Linked DNA regions of Callithrix jacchus. The protein of the gene in region 1 interacts with the protein of each later gene in a biochemical or structural test. Links are inferred from orthologs where the notes say so. Each region holds a gene or a part of one and is shown on either strand. Other genes may lie near its edges. The genes, in order: NUP85 and NUP43.

What was found.
Region 2: the proteins of NUP85 (region 1) and NUP43 form a complex in vitro, tested with the Homo sapiens proteins (2 studies listed by BioGRID). The link is inferred for Callithrix jacchus from reciprocal best matches to the Homo sapiens genes NUP85 and NUP43.

What each region holds. Positions count from the first base shown.
Region 1 is NC_133506.1:131,118,551-131,128,451, forward strand, and holds the start of NUP85 (nuclear pore complex protein Nup85), read left to right. Parts: upstream 1-4,802; 5' UTR 4,803-4,878; coding exon 4,879-4,911; intron 4,912-9,901. UniProt on the Homo sapiens protein: Essential component of the nuclear pore complex (NPC) that seems to be required for NPC assembly and maintenance. As part of the NPC Nup107-160 subcomplex plays a role in RNA export and in tethering NUP96/Nup98 and NUP153 to the nucleus.
Region 2 is NC_133505.1:156,518,455-156,528,255, reverse strand, and holds the start of NUP43 (nucleoporin Nup43), read left to right. Parts: upstream 1-1,021; 5' UTR 1,022-1,081; coding exon 1,082-1,201; intron 1,202-1,514; coding exon 1,515-1,637; intron 1,638-2,732; coding exon 2,733-2,810; intron 2,811-3,857; coding exon 3,858-4,038; intron 4,039-7,292; coding exon 7,293-7,428; intron 7,429-9,420; coding exon 9,421-9,572; intron 9,573-9,750; coding exon 9,751-9,801. UniProt on the Homo sapiens protein: Component of the Nup107-160 subcomplex of the nuclear pore complex (NPC). The Nup107-160 subcomplex is required for the assembly of a functional NPC.

The DNA.
Region 1 (9,901 bases):
TGATAGACTAATTAGAGATCTGGGGCCGGGCACAGTGGCTCACGCCTGTAATCCCAGCACTTTGGGAGGCCGAGGCGGGTGGATCACGAGGTCAAGAGATCAAGACCATCCTGGTCAACATGGTGAAACCCCATCTCTACTAAAAATACTAAAAATACAAAATATTAGCTGGGCATGGTGGTGCATGCCTGTAATCCCAGCTACTCAAGAGGCTGAGGCAGGAGAATTGCTTGAACCCAGGAGGCGGAGGTTGCGGTGAGCCGAGATCGCGCCATTGCACTCCAGCCTGGGTAACAAGAGTGAAACTCCGTCTCAAAAAAAAAGAGATCTGAAGTGATTTTACCTTTATTTCCTTCACTTCAAGCCAATCATGAAATTTCACAGTGATTTCTGGGGTGAGGGCAGAAGGAAGGCGGTGTCAAGAATCACTGGGGCTGTGGCCCAGTAGGCCCGTGAAGGTGCAGGTAGGGTGGGCCCTCACTGGGGCAGCTGGAGGAGCTCGGATTGCCCCGCCAGCAGGTAGGTGATGTTCCGAGAGCGTGACAGCTGGTACGTGATGTCCTCCACAGCTTCCAGCTTGCGCAGCTCGATCAGGCCATCCCCTGCAGTGGCCAGTGAGTTGGCAATCAGCTCAGCTGCCTTGGAGTCGCCCTCAGCAGAGATGATAGCCGCCTTTTTCTGCTGCTCAGCCTTTTCCACCACAAATCTGGCTGTCTCTGCTTCCTGCTGAACCACCCCTTTGGCTTCCACTGCTTCTGTGAACTCCTTCCCGAAGGTCAGATGTGTCAAGGACACATCGTCCAGGATGAGCCCAAAGGTGGCTGCTCGCTCCGTAAGGTCGTCGCTCACCTGCCTGGAGAACAGCTCTCTCTGGGTGATTAGTTCTCCAGCATCAAAGCGAACCACCACTGACTTGAGGATCTCAGTGGTGATGGACGGCAGCATGCGCTCATCATAGTCCTCTCCGATGCTGGTGAAGATGCGAGGCAGCTGGCTAGCAACGGGCCGGAAGAGGATGCGCAGTGTGATGTTGACATTCTGTAAATCTTTGCTACCAGTGATGACTGGCACATTACGTGGCCGAGAACCGCAGTCAAAGATAATTGGTTTCTGTACCCATGGGATGAGAAAGTGAGTCCCTTCCCCTACCACAATGTCCTGTACTCCACGGAATCAGTCAAAGATGACAGCTCTGTGCCCAGCATCCACATTATATAAGGCCGAGTTCACCACGCCTCCTGCAAGAGCTAAGGCCAGGCCAAACTTGCCAATGGACTCAAACACTTTGGCAGCCATGTTCTCTTCTGCTGGACCCTCTCACACCTGCTTCCACTCTGACCACATAAATTTCCCCTGCTTGTGTATTTTAAATTATTTGAAATAAATTTTCAAAAGAGGACTTCCTGGTTCAAAGTACATAAATATGGCCCGGCACGGTGGCTCAAGCCTGTAATCCCAGCACTTTGGGAGGCCGAGGCGGGTGGATCACGAGGTGAAGAGATTGAGACCATCCTGGTCAACATGCTGAAACCCTGTCTCTACTAAAAATACAAAAAATTAGCTGGGCACGGTGGTGCGTGCCTGTAATCCCAGCTACTCAGGAGGCTGAGGCAGGAGAATTGCCTGAACCCAGGAGGTGGAGGTCGTGGTGAGCCGAGATCGCACCATCGCACTGCAGCCTGGGTAACAAAAGCGAAACTCCGTCTCAAAAAAAAAAAAAGTACATAAATATTTGTGTGGCTGCTGATAATAGATTTCTACCTTGTTTTCCAAAATAATTACGTCTCTTGAAATGATTGTGTATTTATTTCTTTAGCAGACTATGGAGCATTAGTTTTATTAGGATGCATTAAAATGTATATACTTAAGACTTTACCAGCCCAGATGCGGTGGCTCATACCTGTAATCCCAGCACTTTGGGAGGCTGAGGTGGGTGGATCACCTGAAGTCAGGAGTTCAAGTCCAGCTTGACCAATGTGGTGAAACCCTGTCTCTACTAAAAAATAAAAAAGTAGCCAGGCTTAGTGGTGTGTGCCTGTAGCCCCAGCTACTTGGGAGGCTGAGGCAGCAGAATCACTTGAACTCAGGAGGTAGAGGTTGCAGTGAGCCAACATCACTTCACTGTACTCCAGCCTGGGCAGCAGAGTGAGACTCTGTCTCAAGGTAAAAAAAAAAAAAAAAACAAAAGGCCTGGAACCATGGATCATGCCTGTAATCCCAGCACTTTGGGAGAGCGAGGTGTGTGGATCACAAGGTCAGGAGTTTAAGACCAGCCTGGCCAATATGGTGAAACCCCGGTCTCTACTAAAAATATAAAAATTAGCTGGATGCGGTGGCACATGCCACCAACCAGTACACATACCAACCAGTACTCAAGGGGCTGAGGCAGGAGAATCAGTTGAACCTGGGAAGCAGAGGTTGCAGTGAGCCATGATCATACCACTGCACTCCAGCCTGGGTGACAGAGCAAGACTATGTCTCATACACAAAAAAAACTTAGGCCACATCTTCAGCACATTGCCTCTGGCTTGATCTGAGATGGATTCTTCTTTCCTGAGACAGAGTTTCTAAAAAACAAAACAAAACAAACAAAAAAAAGAGACAGAGCTTCACTCTTGTCACCAAGGCTGGAGTGCTGTGGAGCAATCAGCCAACTGCACCCTTTGCCTCCAAGGTTAAAGCAATTCTTCTCCCTTAGCCTCCCAAATAGCTGGGATTACAGGCATGGGCCACCACATCTAGCTAATTTTGTATTTTTAGTACAGACAGAGTTTCACCATGTTGGTTAGGCTTGCTGGCCTCAATCTCCTCATCACTTTGAGTGATTCACTGGCCTCGGCCTTCCAAAATGCCAGGATTACTGGCATGAGCTGCTGTGCCCAGCCGATCTGAGATGGATTCTAAGCCTGACTTTGGAGTGACTTAAAAATGATTTCTGGTTTGATTCTTGTGCAACAGGTATGCTTTATTTTAGATGATTTTTAATTCTAGAAATACTTTGCTCTTTTTCTCTTAATAAGTTTCTATTATACCTCAAGTTGGAGTATCGCCTGCATAATTGAAGACTTTTCCAGAGTTAAATACAATTTGAGAGTTAACCACTCTAGAGAGAGGAGGAGGAAAAGAGAGGGCAAGGAGCCACTGATGGAAGAGTGAAAAGAGAAAAATAATTTGTAAACGAATTGTTTTTCCAATGGTATTCCATTAGGATTATCTGAAAAAGGATACATAAACGATTTCATCAAAACCTTATTCTTTGAAATCTATAGAGAGGTTGAGGAAGGAAAAGGTCCATATATAGTATATGTAGTCAAAATACAGAACAAGGATAGCTCTGTTAGCTGTAGTTTTCCTTTTTCACTATTCTATTAATAAGCCTATTTGAATGATTGGGTAAAATGACTGGTATATATCAGTCTTAGACCAAAGAATATTGCCAATACATTTTCCTCAATGTTACCTAGCTCTTGGTCAGACAATCTAAGTACTTTTGTTATCTTCAAATGTCATTTTGTCAGCCTTAAAAGAAAAATAATAAAGGAAGTATAGCACTAAGATTTGTTTTTTTTTTTTTTGAGACGGAGTTTTGCTCTTGTTACCCAGGCTGGAGTGCAGTGGCGGATCTCGGCTCATCGCAACCTCCGCCTCCTGGGTTCAGGCAATTCTCCTGCCTCAGCCTCCCGAGTAGCTGGGACTACAGGCGTGCACCACCATGCCCAGCTAATTTTTGTGTTTTTAGTAGAGACGGGGTTTCACCATGTTGACCAGGATGGTCTCGATCTCTTGACCTTGTGATCCACTCGTCTCGGCCTCACAAAGTGCTGGGATTATAGGCGTGAGCCACCGCGCCCAGCCAAGATTTGTTTTTTTTGAGATGGAGTCTCACTGTGTTGCCCAGGCTGGAGTGCAGTGTCGAGATCTTGGCTCACTGCAACCTCCACCTCCCGGGTTCAAGCGATTCTCCTGTTTCAGCCTCCCGAGGAGCTGGGATTACAGGCATGCGCCACCATGCCCGGCTAATTTGTATTTTTAGTAGAGACAGGGTTTCTTCATGTTGGTCAGGCTGGTCTCGAAGTCCCGGACCTCACGTAATCCGCCCGCCTAGCCCTCCCAAAGTGCTAGGAGTACAGGCGTGAGCCACTGCGCCCGGCCTGTATTCTAAGTAGAGACGAGGTTTCCTCATGTTGGCCAGGCTGGTCTCGAACCCCTGACCTCCAGTGATCCGCCCACCTAGGCCTGCCAAAGTGCGGAGATTAGAGGAGTGAGCCACCGCGCCCAGCCTTCAGTGGTGTCGATTTTGTCCGGGTGCTTCTTGTATGTGTTCTAGTGTGGGAGTGGCGGCGATTGCTTTCCAGCACAAATCCGTTTGACTGTCGGGGTTTGGACAAGCAGCTGCGACGACACTAAAGTGGAGACCAGGATGGGGCGAGGACTCCCAGCGTTGGTAGAGGTTGTACGCTCACTGGGGCCCTAGCGCTGCCCGAGTTCGCACCAGCGCCGCAAAGCTCACGCACGCGCAGTCGCACCGTCTCTGGCCCCAGGGTCCTCCCGCCCCTCCCGCCGTCTCCGGGGGCCTTTTCTCCGCCCGGCGCGGGGATGTCCGCGGTGCCGCCTGATCCTGTGAGCGCGGTACCGTGAATGCAGTCTGCCCTCGGCGCTCTTCTCCCTGACGTGCTGTCGAGGCCAGAAAGGAAGGACCCGCTCAGAGGACCGCAGACGGGTGGCTGAGAGGAGAGGCCCCCGCAGCATTGAGGGTTTGGGCTTGCAGGCGCTGCAGGAGGCGCCCAGCGGGGTCCTCTCTTAGCCAGCTCTGAGCTGGAGGCCTGAGCGGGAAGCATTGGCGGTGGGGCGACTTCCAGGAGGCTGGAGTGTAGCGCTATGGAGGAGCTTGATGGCGAGCCAACAGTCACTGTAAGGGCGCCCCGAAAAGGCTTGTTCGTCCTTGCGGCTCCAGAACTGCGTCTGCTTCGTTAGTTCAGGCTTGTCTGCTTCCCTCCTGGCCGCTAGGCGCTCGTCCCCTACCCTTGACTCAGTTGCCACTGTCCGAAGGTCGCAGTGTTAACGAAGTGCCCGCCCTCGAGTTGCAGTGGTTGCAGGGTTTCTGCCACCAGTCACAAGTCCTGGCCCCGAAGGTCCCACTCCATCCCTTTCCCTCCTTTGTCTTCCTGGCCTTTCTATTTCCCTCGCTTTTCCTCTTGGGCAGTAGAGTGGGTTCAGCCCGAGCAGAAGTATTGATGTTTTTCTTCTAGCTATGTTAAGCTTTGCAAGCGGTACATTGAGCTTCTGCCTGTGTGGTCTAAGGTTTATTGAACGTATTTATTCTCTGGGGAGACTGTTAAAACGTGCGCTTTGAATGAAGATACACCCAGACTTTGTGTGAGCAACATGGCTGTTTATTCACCTGGGTGTGGGCGGGCTGAATCCGAAAAGAGTCAGCGAAGGGCGGTGAGATAGGAGTTGGTTTTATAGGTTTGGGGTGGGCAGTGGAAAGTTAGAGTGACTTGTAGCCACGGATGGGGAGGCGGTGTCCCTCACCCTAGGGTTAAGGTAGGGGGACATAAGAGGAGCTATTCAGGAGGTATGGGTTCGGGGAGGAGGGCGCCAGTGAGGTGTGGCTATAGCCCAGGAATAGTTAAGGAGGCAGACAATTTTGCTAGGATATCTTGGCCTAACAGAGGAATTGGACAAGTGGGACTGATTAGGAAAGAATATGGAAAGTGGTGCTGGCCTAATTGACACCAGACTTGGGGAGTTTTGAGAGGCCTGGAGACCTTGCCGTCAATTCCCACAACAGTTATGGAGGCCAAGGAGACAGGTCCTTGAAAAGAAGGCAGTGTGGAGTGTGTGGCTCCGGGTTGATTAAGAAGGGGATGGACTTGACCTCCACCAGTTACTCGAAGCGCAGTGTTTGTGATGTTCCAGGGAGCCTCTGAGATGTTCAGGCAGCATCAGTCTTCAGCCACCAAGCCAAGGAGATCAGGGAAAGAGTCAGCCTGAGGGCTCCCGGGTTGGGCTCCTGGAGACTTAAAGACAGCAGTTTGAGTCTGGCAGTCCTACCTCCATTGGGGTCCCACACAGACAGGACATGGCTTAGGAAGAATCCCGGTTGGGAGGCTGAGGCGGGCGGATCACGAGGTCAAGAGATCCAGACCAGCCTAGCCAACATGTTGAAACTCCGTCTCTACTTAAATACAAAAATTAGCTGGGCATGGTGGCGCGCGCCTGTAGTCCCAGCTGCTTGGGTGGCTGAGGCAAGAGAATTGCTTGAACCCAGGAGGCGGAGGCTGCAGTGAGTCGAGATCCCGCCACTGCACTCCAGACTGGCGACAGAGTAAGACTCTGTCTCAAAAAAAAAAAAAAAAAAATCCGGGCTGCAGGCATTCCTTGGCTCAGTGGCCAGGTTCTCGGCATTTGAAGCAAGGCTTTGGGGAAGGAGGTCCTGAAGAGAAGTCTGGACGCTGTGGGTTTGGTGGTCTGAAACTTCTGTGAGCCGAAGAAGAAGTAGCTGTGGTCTATCTTACAGAGGAGGCAAGCATTTGTAATTCCGAAATACGCTGCCCCTGGGTAGCTTTTTCCCTATTATTTAACACCTTAAAGGTGAGGTCAATTAATTCCTGTTGTGGGGTTTGAGGGCCAGATTCTAATTTCTGTGGCTTTTTGTAATGTTAGGGACTCAATGGGTGATAAAATGCATATCAAGCATTCTTCAGGGGTGAGAGTAGAAGTAAGGATGACATTTAAGTCACTCCAGGCGAGATTACAGGCCTGGGTTAAGTATTGGAGGATCTGATGTAAAAGAGCCTAACCATTGGCTGATTTGGGAAAGGTCGGATAAAGAGAAAGGAACCTGCACCCTAACTATGCCTTTGGCTCCAGCCACCTCTCGAAGAGGGAATTGTCAGACAGGGGTGGAGGAGGTAGCCACAGGACTAAACTGCAAGCTGGGGCACTTATGAGGTGGCGAGGTGACAGGAGGGGCATAAGGAAATGGGTTGTGGGCAGAGGAAGAGGAGGAAAGCTCTAGGGGTTGGGCTTAGGTCCTGGATTAGGGCCTGGTTCCGACAGGCAGGGAGGAGAAAGGTCGGAAGGGTCGATGGACAAGGAGAATTCTAGGTTGCTGGCAGAGGCAGGAGGGGCAGATGGAAGGGAGAGAAGGAAAATTTGGGATGGGTTGCATTGAGAACAGAGATTAGGGAGAGATTGGTGTGTAAAAAAAAATGCCTGGACGTAGAGAATTTGCCCATTTTACTACGAAAGTTATCTAGATCCTGTAGGATAGAGAAATTGAAGGTACCATTTTCTAAATGGACAATGGACATTTAGAGCCATTGTCCAATTTATATCATGGTCAAGCAGTATTGCAGAAGAAAATAAGATGCTTAGGTTTTAGGTCAGGTGATAGCCGGAGAAGTTTGAGGTTTTTTAGAACGTAGGCTAAGGGAGAGGAGGGAGGAATGGAGGGTAGGAGTTTGCCCATAGTTTAAGAAGAGCGGGGCTCGGCGCGGTGGCTCATGCCTGTAATCCCAGCGCTTTGGGAGGCCGAGGCAGGTGGATCACGAGGTCAAGAGATTGAGACCATCCTGGTCAACATGCTGAAACCCCATCTCTACTAAAAACAAAAAATAAGCTGGGCATGGTGGTGCGTGCCTGTAATCCCAGCTACTCAGGAGGCTGAGGCAGGAGAATTGCCTCAGGAGGTGGAGGTTGTGGTGAGCCGAGATCGCACCATTGCACTCCAGCCTGGGTAACAAGAGCGAAACTCTGTCTAAAAAAGAAAAGAGCGGCGGAAAAAATAAAAAATTAAAAATTAAAAAAAAAAAACAACAAAAAAGACGAGCGGTGGAGACAAGGAAAGTGAATGCATGACCAAGCAGTTTAGCAGACATCCCAGACTAAATCTTGGTCTGAACCTGGGGTGAATCGGTCAAAGGGGGCGTCCCCCGTATTGATCTATCACCTGTGAGTGTGAGTGAGTGACCAGAGCAGATGTCTCCGCAATGATCAGTCACTGATGGAAGACTGTCTTCCCAGTTCCGTGACCTACGTAGGATTTTTTTCTGGTCATGAACCTCACAGAAAGTCCTGTCTTTCTTGTCTCTGATGAAAGGGAGAGAAAAATGAAACTGAGGGGAGACAAAGCTTGACAGGTAGCATGAAGGGCTAAAGAGAAAAGTTGAGGCAAACCACTTACCTGAGCTGAGAGGATGGTGAGTAGATCTGTGGGCTGGTCTGATGAATCTAGGTCATAGGTAGGTCTCTCCATGGAGGGAGCCCAAGGAGAACAGGACCGGGGTTTGGTCTCCTGTAGTAGTTCCCCCATCCCAGGTTTCTGGCACCAAATGTTAAAATGTGCACTCTGAATGAAGGGACCCCGCCCCCCAAAACAGCCTTAGTGTGTGAGCAGCATGGCTATTTATTCACCTGGGTGTGGGCAGGCTGAGTCCGAAAAGAGTCAGTTAAGGGCTGTGGGAGAGGAGTTGGTTTTATAGGTTTGGGGTCAGCAGTGGAAAGTTACAGAAGTTACAGTTTAGGGCGGGGTTTTTGCAAGCTGAGATGGGGGTCTTAAGTTTGCAAGCTGCGAGGAGGTTGTAGAGTGCGGAGTCCAGGTTGACCTAGACCAGGCTGACCAAGGTTGGTTACAAAATCCAATGGCCTTATCAGTTGGGGCAGGAATAAGGAACAATACAGAATGTCTCAAAGGGGTTGATCATTTCTTCTTCTTTTCATGGTTTTCCAGTTATTTCAGATTTTCCAGGAACTCATCTGGAGTCACAGAGGTTAACATGGCATCCATGGCGCTGTCAGTCAGCCTAAAAGACCTTACAGACTATTCCCGTTTTATCGCTGTGCATTCAATTCCATTTGAACTTTGAAGAGAGCATGTCAAATATGGATAATCTGTGATGTGTATACAGAAATTCATGGGCTTTATGTAGGAGATACCTACTGTTTTCGCTACTTGGAATGCTCTTCTCTTCCCTCTTTTTTTTGTTAACTGAAAAGTGACTGAGGCAAGCCTCAATCAGTAAAGGTTTATTTAGCTAAGGTTGAGAATCCAACCAGGAAAAAACACAGGTCACAGGAGAATGTGTGACTTGTGCTTTTGCCAAAGATAGGTTTGGGAACATCATTCCTTAAAGAGGAAGGAGCAGCTGGGCGCGATGACTCATGCCTGTAATCCCAGCACTTTGGGAGGCCGAGATGGGTGGATCATGAGGTCAGGAGTTCAAGACCAGCCTGGCTAACATGGTGAAACCCCATCTCTTAAAAAAAAAAAAAAAAAAAAAAAAAAAGAGGAAGGAGCTAGCAGGAGGGGGAAAATATGGGAGGCTAGGCAATGAGGAGGCAAATGGTTACATTCTTGTGAGTCTCTGATTAGCCTCAGTAAATTTGCATTTTACCTGTGAAAAGAGGGAGTAGACAAAACATTTATGCATTCATCTTAGGTAGGTAGAGGGATGATTTCTTATCTTTTCTTTTTTTATTGGGACAGTCTTGCTCTCTTGCCTAGGCTGGAGTGCATTGGTGCGATCTCAGCTCTCTGCCACCTCTGCTGTTCAAGCAATTCTGCCTCAGCCTCCTGAGTAGCTGGGATTACAGGTGTGTGGCACCATGCCCAGCTAATTTTTTTTTTTTTTTTTTTTTTTTTTTTTAGTTGAGACAGGGTTTCACCATGTTGACCAGGCTGGTCTTTAACTCCTGACTTTGTGATCTGCCTATCTCAGCCTCCCAAAGTGCTGGGATTACAGGTGTGAGCCACCGCATCTGGTTGATTTCTGGTCTTGTACTTGTGAAGATAAGCTGGTAGCTGACGTTGTCAGGGTGAGAATCAACAGCCCTCATTTTTAGGACTAGTTTATAGGAGGAGGTTTCTCCTGAAAAATGTTAAGGCTCACAAGGA
Region 2 (9,801 bases), on another chromosome or scaffold:
GTGGCGTCGGCGTGTAGTCCCAGCTACCCCGGATGCTGAGGTGGGAGAATCACTTGAACCTGGGAGGCGGAGGTTGCAGTGAGCTGAGATTGCGCCACTGCACTCCAGCCTGGGCCACAGAGTGAGACGTTGATTTAGATCAACATTGGCTGGGGTCATCAGGGGAAATGGTACAGGAAATAGCAGATCCTTGAAGGATAGGCAGGATTCTGAGGAATAAAGAGGAAGAGAAAAATACTACAGGTGCAACCAAAAGCACAGAAGGAACCTAGAAAACTGATCCTGGGCCGTTTTCAATCGATATCACCAACCTCATTCTTAATCATGCACATAATTGACTTGACCAAAGCTAGGCAATTGGCAACAAAACTAAAACTGGAGGCCAGGTGTGGTGGCTCACGCCTGTATTCCAAGCACTTTGGAGGCCAAGGTGGGCTGATCACCTGAGGTCGGGAGTTCAAGACCAGCCTCACCAACATGGTGAACCCTCATTGAAAAGGTTTCACTCTTAAAAAAAAACTAAACTAAACTAAAACTGGAGTCTTCAGAATTCCAACTCCAGGCTTTGACTGTGTGTATTAACTTTGAAGCGAAGTATTTGTTTGAGAGACAATAGGGAGAGGTTTAGGATAGTAGGTTGGCACTTTATTCGAGGTACTCACATTAGTAAGGACTTTTGAATCGTTTTCTTTGCGCAGTGATCTGCAACTGCTTAGGTATGGTTTCAAGGTGGTTTCCATTGCATTGATTTTTTTCTATTTTTGTTCTTAAATTTTACACTGAACAATTACTGAACACAAGAAAATACTGATATTGCAGATTAGGAGCAAGTCCTACTGCTCAAAGGCCAAAGCGCTCTTGCCTTTGTTCAGAGCCGCTTTGTGAGATGGGCCTCTCTGGCTAAGTTCTCCCAGTATGCAGTACTGACTAGTCCCACACTGGCCACCGACAAGAATTGACTCTCTGCAGCCACCGTCTCGTTCCTATAGTCCCATCCAATCAGAGCTCCGCGGGAAGAGGCGGGGCTGAGAGGCGCGCATTGTGCTTGCTTCTTGCAGTAGTTGCTGCGATTGCTTTCCGCATGGAGGAAATTTATGCGAAGTTTGTGTCTCAGAAAATCAGCAAAACCCGCTGGCGACCGCTGCCTCCGGGAAGTTTGCAGACCGCGGAAACGTTCGCTACGGGATCTTGGGACAATGAGGTATCCCTGCTAAGGAACCCCTACCACCTCCTCCCTTTCTCTGGTTGAGCTGCACCCCTGTCCGCCCGCGCGCCAACTCCCACCTTCCGGTTCTTCTCCCACTTCTAGGTCCCCGGAACCCCTGTCTCAGACGCGGTTACCCCATAGTTCAGAGCCGGTGCCAGTGTGCCTGAGCCTCGTATCTCGTTGCGTTTTAAACTCACCATACCATGTTTCTGAAATGTTTTCGAGCAGGGTTTCCTGACGGCAGGACAAGTTTTATTTTCAGAGTTGACGTTTATGTCATCTCAAGACAAAACTTTTTGTTTTACAGGAAAATTATGTTTCACTGTGGTCTATTGGAGATTTTGAAAACTTGGACTCTGATGGAGGGTTTGAAGGAGACCATCAGTTATTGTGTGATATCAGACACCATGGTGATATAATGGATTTACAGGTAAATCTTTGTAGTATGCAAAAACTAAATTTGAAAATACTGAGTAATATATTTAAACAAGCAGAAGATCGTCTGGTTTACAGAAAACTGAGTGCCCTATAAGTTAAAATTTGCCCCACATCATTTAGCCATTTAGTGGCAGAAAAAGGACTGGGAAAGGGGATACAGATTTAATCATACTTTTTATTAATTGACCATCGGCTATGTGCTAAGTACCGTTTTGGGAGCTTTACAAAAGTTAATTTATTGTTGCATGCCAGTGAATCAAGTATCGTTATCTTTGTTTTACTAATGAGAAAATTGAGACTAGTATATCTTGAGCATGTTCTATGTGACAGATACTGTACAGGGGGTTTTACATCATTTTGTTTTTTGAATTCTCATAACAACTCCCTAAGTAGAGATTAGTACTCCCGTTTTAAAGATTTACCACGATTTAGAGAACTTAACTTGGCCAACGTCTCAAAACCAGTAGTGAGTGGTGGGGATGAAATTAAGTTTTCAAATCCTGATGTGGAGAGTCCCTGCATTTTATTCTCTAGAAAGCTACCTAGCCCTAGGAAAGATATTTTCTTTTTTAAAATTTTTATTCTTTTTTTGAAACTGAGTCTCACCTGTCAACCAGGCTGGAATGCAGTGGCTTGATCTTGGCTCACTGCAACCTCTGCTTTCCCACAAGCCCAACTCATTTTTGTATTATTGTAGAGACGGGGTCTCACCATGTTGCCCAAGCTGGTCTTGAACTCCTGAGCTCAAGCAAGCCGTCCGCCTAGGCCTCCCAAAATGTTGGGATTACAGGTGTGAGCCCAAATCAAATCAATTGTAAGTGAATGTGTTTAGGAAAAAAATATTGTTTATCCATGAAAATACTCTTATTTTTGATCACTACTAAAAAATAAAAATAAAAAAATACTCTTATTTGTATGGCAGTTTGGACTTTCAGCTCCATTAACACATTTTATTTATTTGCTTAGCACTCATAGACTTCACTTTTCAAAATTGTTAGAAGTTACTACTAATCAAGTTAAATAAAGAAATGGACTTCCTCCCTACTAATATTTCTGAATCTTCAACAAGCAGAAATTTTCTCTTTAGTTTTTTGACCAGGAAAGAATTGTCACTGCTTCATCAACGGGATGTGTAACAGTTTTCCTTCACCATCCAAATAACCAGGTAAAGAACTTTAGTTCGAAAAGTGAATTTTTTATGATAGAATATTGTTTTCTAGGGAAAGAAAAAGAAAAAAATAATAATAACAAAATAGAAAAGTGAATTTTTTTTTGAGACAGAGTTTTGCTCTTGTTGCCCAGACTGGAGTGCAATGGCATGATCTCGGCTTACCGCAATCTCCACCTCCTGGGTTCAAGCAATTTTCCTGCTTCAGCCTCCCCAGTAGCTGGGATTACAAGGATGCGCCACCGTGCCCAGCTAATTTTGTATTTTTAGTAGAGATGGGGTTTCTCCATGTTGGTTAGGCTGGTCTTGAACTCCCTACCTCAGGTGATCCACCTGTCCTGGGCTCCCAAGGTACTGGGACTACAGATGTGAGCCACCATGCCCAACCAAAGGTAGCCTTTCTAATAGACATGCCTAGTAAATATCAAGACCCAGTTCATGTTAAGTGTTTTTTTGAGTCATTTACAAAAACCGATAAGAGCCTTATGTTTTATTTTATTTATTTATTTATTTTTGAGACAGAGTCTCTCTCTGTCACCTAGGCTAGAGTGCAGTCGCGTGATGTCTGCTCACTGCAACCTGCGCCTCCTGGTTCAAGTTATTCTCCCACCTTAGCCTCCCAAGTACCTGGGATTACAGCCAGGTGCTACCACACCTGGCTAATTTTTGTATTTTTAGTAGAGATGGGATTTTGCCACATTAGCCAGGCTGTTCTCAAAGTCCTGACCTCAGGTGATCCACCTGCCTCCCAAAGTGGTGGGATTATAGACATAAGCCACAGTGGTGGGCCAGAGAATTATATTTTAGATATAGTTTCATTCCTTGGCCTCCCAAAGTGCTGGGTTTACAGGCATGAGCCACTGTGCCCACCCTCAGTATACAGAACTTTGATAGAAGTAGTTTTTAGATTTCATTACTCTAAAGGAAAAAAGAGAGATTTATTCTTCTAGAAGGGTGTGAATCAGAATTTAAAGATAGTCTTGTTGGCAAAAAGTGCTAGTTCCTTAAACTTTCTTTAATAGTATCCTCATTTCTGATGCCTAGACTCTGTCAGTCAACCAGCAATGGACTACAGCTCACTACCACACAGGCCCCAGCAGTCCTTCCTATAGCAGTGCACCATGTACAGGTATTGTGTGTAACAACCCAGAAATTGTTACAGTTGGAGAGGATGGTCGAATAAATCTCTTCAGAGCTGATCACAAGGAAGCTGTAAGAACCATAGGTAAGAAAAATCCCAGCCTGGCCAACATGGTGAAACCATCTCTACTAAAAATATGAAAGTTAGCTGGGTGTGGTAGTATGTACATGCCTGTAATCCCAGGTACTCAGAAGGCCAAGGCAGGAGAATTGTTTGAACCCGAGAGGCTGAGGTTGCAGTGAGCTGAGATGGCACTGCCATATTCCTACCTGGGCAACAGAAGGAGACTCCATCTCAAAAAAAGAAAAATCATTTTATTTCTTTCATCTCTCACAGAGTAATTGAGTACTTACGATATACTAAGTAAACACAGCCAGGTAGGGGTGGATCACGAGGTCAAGAGATCCAGACCATCCTGGCCACATGGTGAAAGCCTGTCTCTACCAACAATACAAACTTAGCTGGGCATGGTGGTGCGCACCTGTAGTCTCAGCTACTGGGGAGGCTGAGGCAGGAGAATTGCTTGAACCCAGGAGGCGGAGGTTGCAGTGGACTGAGATCACACCACTGCACTCCAGTCTGGCAACAGAGCAAGACTCTGTTTCAGAAGTAAACACAATGTTAAATGGTTGAGGGATATAAAAATACATGGACAGGCACAGTGGCTCATGCCTATAATCCCAGCACTTCAGGAGGTCAAGGCAAGCAGATCATTTGAGGCCACGAGTTTGAGACTAGCCTGGCCAACATGGCGAAATCCTGTCTACTAAAAATATAAAAATTAACTGGCAATGGTGGCACACGCGTATAGTCCCAACTGCTTGGAAGGCTGAGGCATGAGAATTGCTTGAACCTAGGAGGCTGAGGCTTTAGTGAGCCAGTATCATACTATTGCACTCCTGCCTGCCTGGGTGACAGCAAGACTCTGTCTCAAAAATATATATATAAATGTGTGCGCGCGCGCGCACACACACACACACACACACACACACACACACACGACAGGATGCTTTTGTCAAGACAGTATATTGATGAGGCCAGTACAAATGACTGACTAGAGAAGACAGAAACCTTTTTTTTCCTTTGGCCAGAGGGGATTATCAGATAAAGCATCTGGGAGTAGGTAGTAATAGTTTTTTCTAGGTTCTAGACCATAAGTAATACTAAAAGATGGCATGCTAGACAAAGGGAATAGGCCAGAGACAGGATAAAGACCTTCAGAGAATGACAAAAAGTATAGTTTGACCCAACTTTAGATATTTATGCAGGAGAGATGAAAGATGAAGCAAGAGAAGGGTAAACAGGCCAGATTGCAAGGAGTCTATAATGCAAAATCACAGAGATTACATCTTGTAGGTGGAAAACTCAGTGTATTGGTTCTCAACTATGCTTCAATAAGACTTGCCTGAGGAAGTTTTTTTGAACTGTCCACCACTCTAGACCTCTTGAATCAGAATCGCTAGGAATTGAGCCCATACGTCCATCTTTTTGTTTTGTTTTATTTATTTATTTACTTTTTAGATGGAGTCTCACTCTGTCATCAGGCTGGAGTGCAGTGGCATGATGGCTCACTGCCACCTCCGTCTCACAGGTTCAAGCAGTTCTCCTGCCTGAGCCTCCTGAGTAGCTGGGATTACAGTCACCCACCATCACTCCCAGCTAATTTTTGTATTTTTGGTAGAGATGGTCTTTCACCATGTTGGCCAGGATGGTTTCGATCTCTTGACCATGTAATCTGCCCACTGTGGCCTCCCAAAGTGCTGGGATTACAGGTGTGAGCCACCGTGCTCGGCTTTCTGTGTTGTTTATTATGGTTTTCAGTTCTGAGTTAAGTTGCATTGCTTTTTTTTTTTTTTTTTTTTTGTGACAGGGTCTTGCTTTGTCACCCAGGCTGGAGTGCAGTGGCATGATCCAAGCTCACTGCAATTTCTGCCTCCCAGGTTCAAGCAATCCTTCTGCCTCAGCCTCCCAAGGATCTGGGACCACAGATGCATACCACCATGCCTGGCTAATTTTTGTAGAAATGAGGTTTTACCATGCTGTCCAGGCTGGTCTCCAACTCCTGGGTTCAAGTGAATTGCCCGCCTCGGCCTCCCAAAATGTTAGGATTACAGGTGTGAGCCACTGCACTGGGCAACATCACTTATTTGTTAATTAATGACCGTTGTCTGGTGGCAGTGTAGAGGAGTGGCACAAACTAAAGTCTATAAAGTATATGTTAAATTATGAGGCATAAGTTCTAAACACCAGGAAATCAACAGAAGGACCATTATAACAATCAGGAATGACTTCATAGAGAGGGCGAGAGTTGATGAGGATGAAAATAAGTAGATTTGGGATGAGTCTGCAGAATAATACAAGATTGGCATGAGCTCTGTAGAAAGCACAGGGGTTTGGCCCAATAGAAGGGAAGTTCTAGATCAGGAACTAGTGGGAAATAAGATTGGGTTTAGGGGAGCTTGAACAACTCTCTCAGAAATGCAGGGTAACAATCTTTTTCTTTTTCTTTGAGACGAAGTTTCGCTCTTGTTACCCCAGGCTGGAGTGCAATGGCGCGATCTCGGCTCATCGCAACCTCTGCCTCCTAGGTTCAGGCAATTCTTTCTCAGCCTCCTGAGTAGCTGGGATTATAGGCACGTGCCACCATGCCCAGCTAATTTTTTTTGTATTTTTAGTACAGACAGGGTTTCACCATGTTGACCAGGATGATCTCGATCTCTTGACCCCGTGATCCACCCGCCTTGGCCTCCCAAAGTGCTGGGAACAATCTTAAGAGTTAAAAAAGAATGTATGAAAACTCAGCCTTCCATTTCTAACACAGTTCAAGGCTGGGCCCAGTGCCTCACACCTGTAAATCCAGCACTTCGGGAGACCGAGGTGGGTGGATCACCTGAGCTTAGGAGTTCGAGACCAGCCTGGCCAATGTGGTGAAACCCTGTCTCTACTAAAAATACAAAAATTAGCCGGGCGTTGTGGTGTGTGCCTGTAATCCCAGCTACTAGGGAAGCTGAGGCAAGCAAATCACTTGAACCTGGGAGATAGAGGTTGCAGTGAGCCGAGACCATACCAGTGCCCTCTAGCCTGGGTGACATGGCAATATCCATCTTAAAAAAAATAAAAAGAAAAAGAAAACAGTTCAGATGTCCTGTAATATTTTTCCATCCAAAGAGAATTCATTTAAACATGTACATTACTGTGTACTTTTCTATAGAAATTTAAATTATTAGTTACTGGAAATTGTATTTGTAATATAGCAATCCATGAAAGGAGTGTGATTTAAGATTTTCTTGGAAAAAAGGAACTCATTAACACATATTACCATTTTTAAAAATTTTTAGACAATGCAGATAGTAGTACACTCCATGCTGTAACCTTTCTTCGAACTCCTGAGATTCTTACTGTGAATTCAATTGGACAGTTGAAAATATGGGATTTCAGACAACAAGGAAATGAGCCTTCTCAGATATTGTCACTGTAAGTATTGATTTGTAATTTCAGTAATGTAATCCAAAATTAATGTGTTTGGTTGTTTATAGCAATTATCTTTAAGCTATGTTAATTACATTTTAAGAGGGTGATCCCTGATTAAATTTGGTAGAGAAAGCATAACTTGAATAACTTGATGGGGTTGACACTACTTTCATTTAGCAATTATTTGTTATAGTGATTCAGAACCTTTACTCTTTGAAGTTTGTATTATTTCGTGGAGAACTTATTTCTGCTCTTTCAATGATTATTTAATGGATAAAATATATTCCAGATATAATGATTAGGGGAAAAATATAATTCCAGATATTTTTTATGAGCAGAAATCCCCCCTTTTAGGTATACAACCTTTTCTCATACGAAAATAGAATGTGTCACACTGAAAAAATAGTTATAAAAACTAAGCATTTAATAAGATGATAAATAGGCTGGGTGCAGTGGCTCACGCCTATAATCCCAGCACTTTGGGAGGCCGAGGCGGGTGGATCACGAGGTCAAGAGATCGAGACCATCCTGGTCAACAAGGTGAAACCCCATCTCTACTAAAAATACAAAAATTAGCTGGGCATGGTGGTGCGCACCTGTAGTCCCAGCTACTCGGGAGGCTGAGGCAGGAGAATTGCTTGAACCCAGAAGGCGGAGGTTGCGGTGAGCCAAGATCGTGCCATTGCACTCCAGTCTGGGTAACCACAGCGAAACTCCATATAAAAAAAAAAAATAAGATGATAAATAATATTTAGTACAGTTGATGTATGATTTTTTAAGAAATCTAAGAAGTGGAAATATGATTTATACATCTTATCATCAGATTATCCTTCATTCTGTGTCTCCATATTGAAGTGAGAATGAATAATTGTGGCCTTGAATTATTTCAAAATTGTACTATTTGGAAATATATCTAATTTAGTTCATTTTTTGGCATCATTAAGATTTAGCCAGGCCCGGCATGGTGGTTCACACCTGTAATCCCAGCACTTTTTGAGGCCAAGGCCGGCGGATCACTTGAGGTCAGGAGTTCGAGACCAGCCTGGCCAACATGGTAAAACCCCGTCTCTTCTAAAAATACAAAAATTAGCCAGGCATGGTGGCATGTGCCTGTAATCTCACCTACTTGGGAGGCTGAGGCAGGAGAATCACTTGAACCAGGGAGGCAGAGTTTGCAGTGAGCCAAGATCGAACTATTGCACTCCAGCCTGGGCAAAAAGAATGAAACTCTGTCTCAAATTTTAAAAAAAGATTCAACCAGTAGCTCCAGCCACTAAGTTGTTGTTTAGTTACCATATGAAACATGTTTCTTGGCTGAGCATGGTGACTCACGCCTGTAATCCCAACACTTTGGGAGGATCACCTGCAGTGAGAAGTTTGAGATCAGCTGGGGCAACATAGCAAGACCCTCGTCTCTACAAAAACCCACCATGCCTGGCTAGTTTTTATATTTTTAGTAGAGATAGGGTTTCGCCATGTTGGCCAGATTGGTTTTGAACTCCTGACCTCAAGTGATCCACCTGCCTTGGCCTCAAAAAGTGCTGGGATTTCAGGCATGAGCCACTAAACCTACCTGGTCAAGACCCTTTCTCTTAAAAAAGAAAAATCCAGGCTGGGCACAGTGTCCATGTTGGTCATCCCAGCACTTTGGGAGGCCAAGGTGGCTAGGTTGCTTGAGGCTGGGAGTTCAAGATCAACCTGGGCAACATGGAGAAACCCCATCTCTGCAAAACTACAAAAAGTTAATCAGGCGTGATGGTGCACACATGTAATCCCAGCTACTCAGGAGGAGGCCGACGTGGGAGGATCACCTGAGCCCAGGGAGTTTGATCCTGCAATGAGCCACGATCACAGTGCCTCAATCCAGCTTGGGTAGCAGAGTGAGACCCTGTCTCGAAAATGACAACAACAACAAAAAAAACCATGTTTCTTGTGTTACACAAAGATAAATTATACTTTATCTGATTTTGATGTCAATGTTATCTCCCACAAAAGAACTGGTGACCGAGTGCCACTCCACTGCGTTGATAGACATCCCAACCAACAGCATGTTGTAGCTACTGGTGGCCAAGATGGAATGTTGAGTATTTGGGATGTTAGACAAGGTACTATGCCTGTATCTCTGCTGAAGGCTCATGAAGCTGAAAGTAAGTATTGTGGAGATACAGAAAGTTTTTATTGGGTGAGTTATATGACATATAATAAGCACCTTTTCATAATGACACACGTGGATCATTTTACATGATAGCTTTTAATTTAAATAATTATCTAATCTCTTTTTACTTGACATTTAAGTTGTTTAACATGTTTCTTTTTTTTTTTGAGACAGAGTTTCACTCTTGTCCATGCTGGAGTGTAATGGCACCATCTCTGCTC